Linked DNA regions of Macaca fascicularis. The protein of the gene in region 2 interacts with the protein of the main gene of each other region in a biochemical or structural test. Links are inferred from orthologs where the notes say so. Each region holds a gene or a part of one and is shown on either strand. Other genes may lie near its edges.

Region 1 (3,515 bases), on a different chromosome or scaffold from region 2:
AAAAAAGAAGAAGAAGAAAATAGAAAAGGGTAGAGGAGAGAAGGAAAGACCCAGGAAGAAGGGCCTGGAGGGAGACTTCAGTTTCAAGTCAGTTCTGACAGAGGAACCCTGTATCCCTTTTCCTAGGAGCAGGCAGATCTGGATTCAAAAATCTACTTCCATCGCTTATCAGCTGTGTGACTTCGGGTGTTTTACTTAACGTCTCTGAGCTTTTTCTTTCTCTGTAAAAATAAGGAGCAATATCTGCAGTCACAGGGTTGTGGTGAGGAATAAATGAAATTCAGCCATAAAGTCTTGGCATGTAGTTGGGATCCTATAAAGACTGGGCCCCATGGGGGTTGGGAGCGATAAGAACAGTGAACTTTGGTGGTAGGAATATGGTCAGACAGCAGAAAGAACGTCCAAACACAAACAGCCAAGGCAGGATGTCTGATCTGTACAAACAAGAGGGTCCTGGCTGGCTGGCATGTGACAGAGGGTAAATCTAGTCACACAGGAGGGGAAAAGGAGAACCCTGCTCATGGCAAAACACAGAAAATTAGCAGAAAACTCCTGGGAGAGGGTTTTAGGTGGTGTGAAAAATGTGGTCTTTTTTGGCAGAGAATGAAGGCAGGGGCTTAATAGGTTTCCTTGTGGAAACGTTTTAAGGATAGAGGGAAAGTCCGCTGGGGTCTCCATCCCATAAAGTGGGCTTGTAAAGGCAGCCTGTTAACGCAGCTGGAGGTGGAGGAGGGGGACACAGGGAAGGAGGGGAAAAGGGAGGGGAGGGAGGAAGTGGAAGGGAGGATTCTCAAAGCCACCTCTCTGCCTGCCTCCCTTCCCTTCCAGAGATTCTGGAACTTGCCTCTCCTGGTGTCCTCCACCCCACCTCCTGCTGAAGATCTTTTGACTGAAGGGAAAGGGTTCCCATCATTTAGGTCCTGGGAGGAGAGCCCTGGGCTGGAGTCCAGGAAGCGAGAGAGGCAGATTTGGCGGTTCTGGGATAGCTGATGGTTGGCCACCCCGTCCTGGGATGGAAACCCTGTTAGGCCAGACAGCAAGATGGCAAAGGCATTGGAGGATGTCCCACCTCCACACATACGCCCAGGCATCTCTTGGCTGGGGAATGGAGTTACAGGATCCACAAGCACAGAGAAGGGGAACAGTATGTCTGGGGAACACCAAGAGTTGGGGTTGCCTTAAGGACAGATAGACTCAGGGGGACATCCAGAGAGGTAATACTATGTCCGCAGGTGGATTCAGAGGCCCCAGCTCTATCCCCTTATTCCCAGCCAGATTAAAGAACAATCTGAGTATGGTTCCCTTGAGCCCTCCAGGTGGGCATCAAGTGCCAGGTAGAAGGCAGGTTCTGAGTGGCAGTCATCAGGAAAAGGGCAGGGAGCCCATGGTCCAAAGGCAGCAACTGCGGACTGGGGGCACCCATCAGGGACCAAGACCCCTGACTCAAAACACGAGGGGATTCAGACCCTGGACAAGACTGGGGCTAAGAGGCCCAGACCCACCAGCCCTGGAAGATGAGATTCTCTCCCCTCCTGAAAGAAATCCCAGGCAGGGTTGAGCTCGGTGGCTCACGCCTCTAATCCCAACACTTTGGGAGACTGAGGCAGGTGGATCACTTGAGGCCAGAAGTTTGAGACCAGCCTGGTCCACATGGTAAAACCCCATCTCTACTAAAAATACAAGAATTAACCAGGCATGGTGGCATGCACCTGTAGTCCCACCTACTCAGGAGGCTGAGGCATGAGAATCACTTGAAACCAGAAGGTGGAGGTTGCAGTGAGTCGAGATCATGCCATTGCACTCCCAACCTGGGCAACAGAGCAAGACTCTGCCAGAAAGAAAGAAAGAAAGAGAGAAAGAGAGAGAGAGAGAGAAAGAGAGAAAGAGAGAGGGAGGGAGGGAAGGAAGGAAGAAAGGAAAGAAGGAAGGAAGGAAGGAAGAGAAAGAAAGAGAGAGAGAAAGAAAGAAAGAGAAAGAAAGAAAGGAGGGAGGGAGGGAGGAAGGAAGGAAAGAGAGAGAAAGAAAGAAAAAGAAAGGGAAGGAAGGAAGGGAGGGAGGGAGGGAGGAAGGAAGGAAGGAAGGAAGGAAGGAAGGAAGGAAGGAAGGAAGGAAGGAAGGAAGGAAGGATCCCAGGCAGGAATGGGCACAGCTCCCCATCTCCCCTCCCCTCTGTCACCCAACAATAAGTACGTCTTCAGGACCCCTATCCCTGCTGCCTCGGGAAAACTCTGCTTCCTGGTCAAAGCTGGAGAAGAGTTGGTCTGTGGGGGAGAGCAGCCACACCCCCAGGATCCCCCAAGGTCAGCCTCCAGGGCAGCCAGGATTTGATCCTCCTCTCCCTTCCCCCAAACACATCAGGGATAAGTGGCAGCCATTGATTTTGCAGTGCAGATGATATTTTTAGCTGGTCTTAGCATCAGCTATTCCTCCCTGCCCGGCCACACTCTTCTACCAGGCCTCTGCCTTCTCAGGAGCTGGGAATGGGCACCCCTTGGAGATCCCCTGTGGGGTTCCCCTCCTCCCTCTGCACACTTCCCTTCTCCATTCTCAGCTTCTCCCATCTGGGAGAAACACCTCCTACACTGGGTCAGACCCACTTCTGGTGACCTTACAGTGGTGGGAAGGGGACCCTTCCCACTTATAAGGCTCTACTGGGCATGCTTCTCCCAGCGCCCCTCCCTTTCACCCCTCTCCTCCTCACCCCCATTCTTCTCCCCTCCTGCTACCCACCACCCTCTACTCACTGTCCAGGCAGGGCTCACACACGGTCTGGTTGGCTCCACAAGGCTGGGCCACACCTTCGCCCAGGTTGCAGGCTTTGCAGCACTCGCCGCCGTGTGTGTACAGGCCTGTGGGGCATGCCTCCTTGGCACCTCCAAGGGACACCTGGATGGAGGCAGATCAGAGGGTCAGACTGGCAAGAGAAAGGCGGGGGTCTCTTCCGGGGAATCAAACACCCCCTCCCACTGCCTTCTATTAGAACCACCTGGGCTGGGATGAGCTCACCAAGGAGGCATTAGGCACATCAAAGCTGACAGGGGAAAGGCAAGTGAGGGACAGTATGCCTGTGCAGGCTGCTGGGGGTGTGAGGTCAGAGCTTCAGCTGCTGACCTTCTGCAAAGTTCATCTTGGGGTTACAGCAACTCCTGGAATCCCAAGGATACACCACATGGGGAAGGTGGCCTGAGGCCCAGCGGAGGGCCTACCAACAGGGATGTCATCAGTGGTTGGACAGGTTGCAGCTTGCACAGGGCTCCCAGCCAACAGGGCAAGTAGAGCTGAAACCTAGCCCAAACTCCATTCGCTAAGCTTTGACCTGCAGGGCTGCATCTACCCAGAGGAGGGCCTTTTTCTAACAAACACCAGCAGGGCCCTACTCCAGGTTCTTAATTCCACATATTAAATAATAAATGGGAGATATCCATGCCCAAGAGCAGAAAGCAGAGGGTTAGGGTCTTGGGTTTGAATCCTGAGTCTGCGCTGGGGGTCTTGCCTGCCCAGCTTCCCTCTGAGTC
Region 2 (4,123 bases):
CAGCGGACACTGTTTGCTCAAAATGGTCCACCACAGAATTGATTTCTCGGAACTGGCTAAGCCTGAGAGCTGATGGTTTGTGAGATCAGAGGTGCTAGTCAAAGAAACACACAGGAACTCTTTCTGTCTCACAGAAAGGTGTTTTCTGGGAGCATGGGTTGTTTGCACACAGATATCCAGAGATTTTGCGCAAGACCTCAGCAAACCTTCCATTGCTTCCTGAGAGCAGAGAATTTGCTGCCAGCAAAGGTCTCTAAGGCTTGTTTTAGACTCTGAAGTCCGTGAAAGTTCTTACTGGGAAAAGGTAAATGGCTGGGTCTCTGGTCCCGGGTCTGGCACTGACATCTGCTTGGGGATCTGGGCCTTGGCCCTGCTCCATGCCCGGTAGAGAAGAGCAGTGGCTGAATCTCTGTGTAGTTTCCCTGCTGCTCTGATGCAGGGTGCTGCAGTAAAGCACTCTATGAATGAGCAGCAGGAGTGCTCAGCACTCTTTAAAAAGTAAAGTTGTGTGACTTTTTTCATCAGTTTAATCTCGGTAATGATGAGAAACTTCCCTCGGGCTCCAGCCCTGCCCTGCCCTACCCTACTCTCCCTGCTGATGTCGGCAGCCAGGGCCCCCTTCTTGTCCAAGGCACGGATTTCTCCCTGAAAGAGAATGAGAGTGTGAAGCCTCATCCCTTGCTCCCACTGGCCCTTGGGGCAGGGGAGTTGTGGGGTGGGCAATAGGAGAAGGCGAGAACCCCATTCCTTGGCAAGGGTTAAAAGTAGGGAAAGAGCCACCAACACTAGGATGACTGCCCTGAGTGGGCCCAGTTCATTTCTCTGATGGGCCTGGGCTGCTGTTGGAAATGCAGTGGTGCCAGCAGCTGGTTCTAAAATCCTCTGAGGTGCTCCTATACTTCTGCCAAATTAGTGTTCTCATGCCCCAGTGATCTTGGCTTCCCATTTTTGGTGCTTCTTTTTTCCCTTTACCTGCATAAAGATGTTGGGGAAAGAGTGGGGTAGGAGTTTGGCAACATGTGGCATTAAACCCTATCCCCCTTCAACAAGAGGAATGTTCACTTTTTGTGTGAGTCAGTTCCAGCTAGGCCAGTCTCAGCCCCCAGACCCGCCCGTCTCCTCTGACCCTCTGGGAACATTGCCCATCATGAATTAACATTTGGGTTGCTCAGGTTGACATATGACTTATTCAACAAAAGAGACCCATCAGGTTTGATATAGCCTTTCTTCTGTGACTCTGCAGAGGGAGAAAGTTTCAGACATTCAGGAGGAAACTGTAAACACAGGGTAAGAAGGGCTGGCAGGGGCCAATGGCTGCTGCCCTTCTGCACTGCCTAGAGAAGGGGAAAGATTCCCCTCCAGTAGACTTAACTGACAGCTTCAAGAGTTTGAAGACCCTGGAGAGAAGTTACCGATGGGGCCTCCACTGTCATTTCTGCATTTGCAGAGTGCAGCTGGCTGTGCATGGGTTGGGGAGGAGGGGACTGGCACTGGTAGTGGGTGTGCCCAGAGGATGGAGCCAGGACAATTAATCAAGTGCCTTTTCTACAGGATTTCCATTGGCCTTGGATGACAGATGGGGCAGAGGCACCCAGGAGAGCACTATTTTGGTTTCCAGCTGGGAACGTGCACTAAGTTTTCCTTAATACCCACAGCACCCAAAAGGCTTTGCTGTAATACACTTTAATGCATGAAACACCCATAAATTATCCTTCGAACTGTTACAACTTCCAACCTGGAACAACTTGGAAAAACCAGCCTAGCAAGCAGGCTCTTTTTTAATCTCTCAAATCACAACAGAAGAAAAAGTTCAAGCACGAAACACCTTCCTTAAGAATCTCGGAGTTTTTTTTTTTTTTTTCTTTTTCTTTTTTTTAAGAAGGAGGTCTGTAATTAGAGGGAGCTAAGCTGCTTGTTTCTGCTGGCTCAAAGTTGCAGCTCCCTGACCCCCGAGTCCTCTCTTCCTCCCCTAGATCCTCCTCGCCTGAACCCAAGGCGCTGCCCGCCCCAACCTTCCACGCCCGCTTCTCCCACACCTGGCAGCAGACAGCTGGAGATGAAGCGTGTGACCCAAGTGGCACGAATGAACCTTGGCGACCTCGACCTGAGGTTGTCCAACGCGGCTCCGTGGAGGGCCCCGGTACGCCGGACGGACCCCGGTATTGGCTCGCAGACTTCCTGGGTTAACCCCCGGGGCCCTCAGTCACGACTCCCAGCCCTTCCGAGACGCGCTGAGGGAACTGCCCTAGGTCTAGCGCGCCCTGTTCCGCTCGTCCCCCTACCTGGGAGCAGCGCAGCACTTTCCTGACTCGGCGCTCACCTCAGCCAGCGCGCTCTGCGCTCCCCCCGCGGTGCTGGCCGCCACTCCTCCCGCCCCGGCGCGCCAGCTGCCGGCGCATCCCTCTCGGTGCCCATTCGCTCTCCCTCACTTGCGCGTTATCCACTTCTAGCCCTCGAGCTAGACTCTGCCATGGCCGTGGGCTTCTGCAGGCGCCAAGGCTGCTCCCTGGACCGCCGGCCATCCCGGGACTAGGAACTCCACGACGAGAACGAACGCTGTTCCCGCGGTCCGACTCGTCCTCCCGCGAGGGTCCCGCGACCCCACACCCACTCGGGACATTTCTCAGGGCTGCTCTTGGGTCCGCGGGAGCCTCGGGGGTAACCAGAGAGCTCGCCAGACCGGTATCCTTGCATACTCTCCCGCGAAGCCCAGCCACCCCGGCCCGCGCCCGCGCTGCGCCCCTCTCGGGATCGGCTCGGGGCAGCCTGACTCACCGCTGCGCTCCCCTCCGGCTCCCAGCGCTCTCTGCTGTGCCGGAGCGCCGAGCTGCTCTCACACAGGCTTCTTGAATTCTTAGCCCCTCCTCCCGTACTCCTGAGTCACACGCTCCAAATCCTGGCCCCCATCCCTCCCCTCCCCATCACCAGCCCCGCACCTGCTGTGGCGGGGTGGTGGTGCCTGGCTGGAGGGGGTCCTGAGGACTAGAGACGGATCGCTCCTGGAGGGCTGGCCAGACCCAGCCAGAGAAGGACTTTAAACTTCCAGAGGTCAAAGGGAAACCCACTGGGGTCTGAGGGGCCGCGCGCGCAAAGCCGGGAGGAGGATTTTCTGGGGCACCGGCGGGGGTCGTTGGGCCGACTGGTTGGGGCTAAGCGGCGTTGCTCGCAGCTTCCCTCACCTCTCCGCCCTGCCCCCGCGCGTTGCCCTTCGCCAGTGCTTCCCTGGTCTGCCCGGCGTCGCCCTCATTGCCCCAGGCATTGGCTGCTCCCCGCGCCGTCTAAGGGAGCTTTTCTTCGTGGCACCCTTCCTCACCCCAGGATAGGTGAGCACCCAGGGGGAGCCCCGCGAGGGGCAGGTGCCCAAGCTCCTCTGACAAGGGAAGGCGGCTGCAGAACCAGTTAGAAGGCCCCCAGGCACTGGCGAGTCCAGCGTAAGGACAAGGGGCAGAGGACTTCAGGAGTCAGGAGGAGCTAGACCAGGGACCTTAACTTAAGGCCCTGGGTTCCAGGAACTTCCCGGAGTCCCTGGCCCCTCTGAAACGGTAGGCTGATTTGCGCGACTGTGTGCAATGCTAATATTCTTTTCTGGGCTGAAGGTCTGCAGCTTTCATCAGTTTTGCAACGGGCCTGTGACCCCTAGACTGACATAGCCAGCAAACCTTCTGCTTAGGCCCTCTCTCCACACTCCAGGCCCCACACAAATCCTTCCTGACCCTTCAAGATTTCTTGAGTTCCCTGGATTCAGCCTGACAGGGGAGCTTGCCTGACTTTCCCCTGCCCCTCTGCCAGGGTTGTTCCCACCCCAGCATAAAATTAGCAAGGGAGAAATACCCCTGAAGTCAAATTTGTCGCCAAATGTGCACCATTAATTGTAGCATTCCAGGGGATTCACATCTCTTTGGAAATTTACAGCCCCATTCCCTCCTGTGTTGAGCTTGTCTGTGTCTTCACTTCTTCCTTTAGCAAAGGTGGGTTGGACCGCTACCCCGTGTGGATGCCACAGAGGATAAGTGGGTGTGGGGAGAGTAACAGGAAGGGAAGGTGAGGCACAGAATCTCTCTATTGCTGGTGACACTAGCCAGTGCAACCCAGCAGAAGGGCACCCTCTGGGGAGCTGGGATTT

The links.
Region 1: the proteins of NGF (region 2) and NGFR form a complex in vitro, tested with the Homo sapiens proteins (2 studies listed by BioGRID and IntAct, with this or other methods). The link is inferred for Macaca fascicularis from reciprocal best matches to the Homo sapiens genes NGF and NGFR.

What each region holds. Positions count from the first base shown.
Region 1 is NC_088390.1:57,210,029-57,213,543, forward strand, and holds part of NGFR (tumor necrosis factor receptor superfamily member 16), read right to left. Parts: intron 2,887-3,515; coding exon 2,745-2,886; intron 1-2,744. UniProt on the Homo sapiens protein: Low affinity receptor which can bind to NGF, BDNF, NTF3, and NTF4. Forms a heterodimeric receptor with SORCS2 that binds the precursor forms of NGF, BDNF and NTF3 with high affinity, and has much lower affinity for mature NGF and BDNF.
Region 2 is NC_088375.1:119,049,008-119,053,130, reverse strand, and holds the start of NGF (beta-nerve growth factor), read right to left. Parts: upstream 2,809-4,123; 5' UTR 2,776-2,808; intron 1-2,775. UniProt on the Homo sapiens protein: Nerve growth factor is important for the development and maintenance of the sympathetic and sensory nervous systems.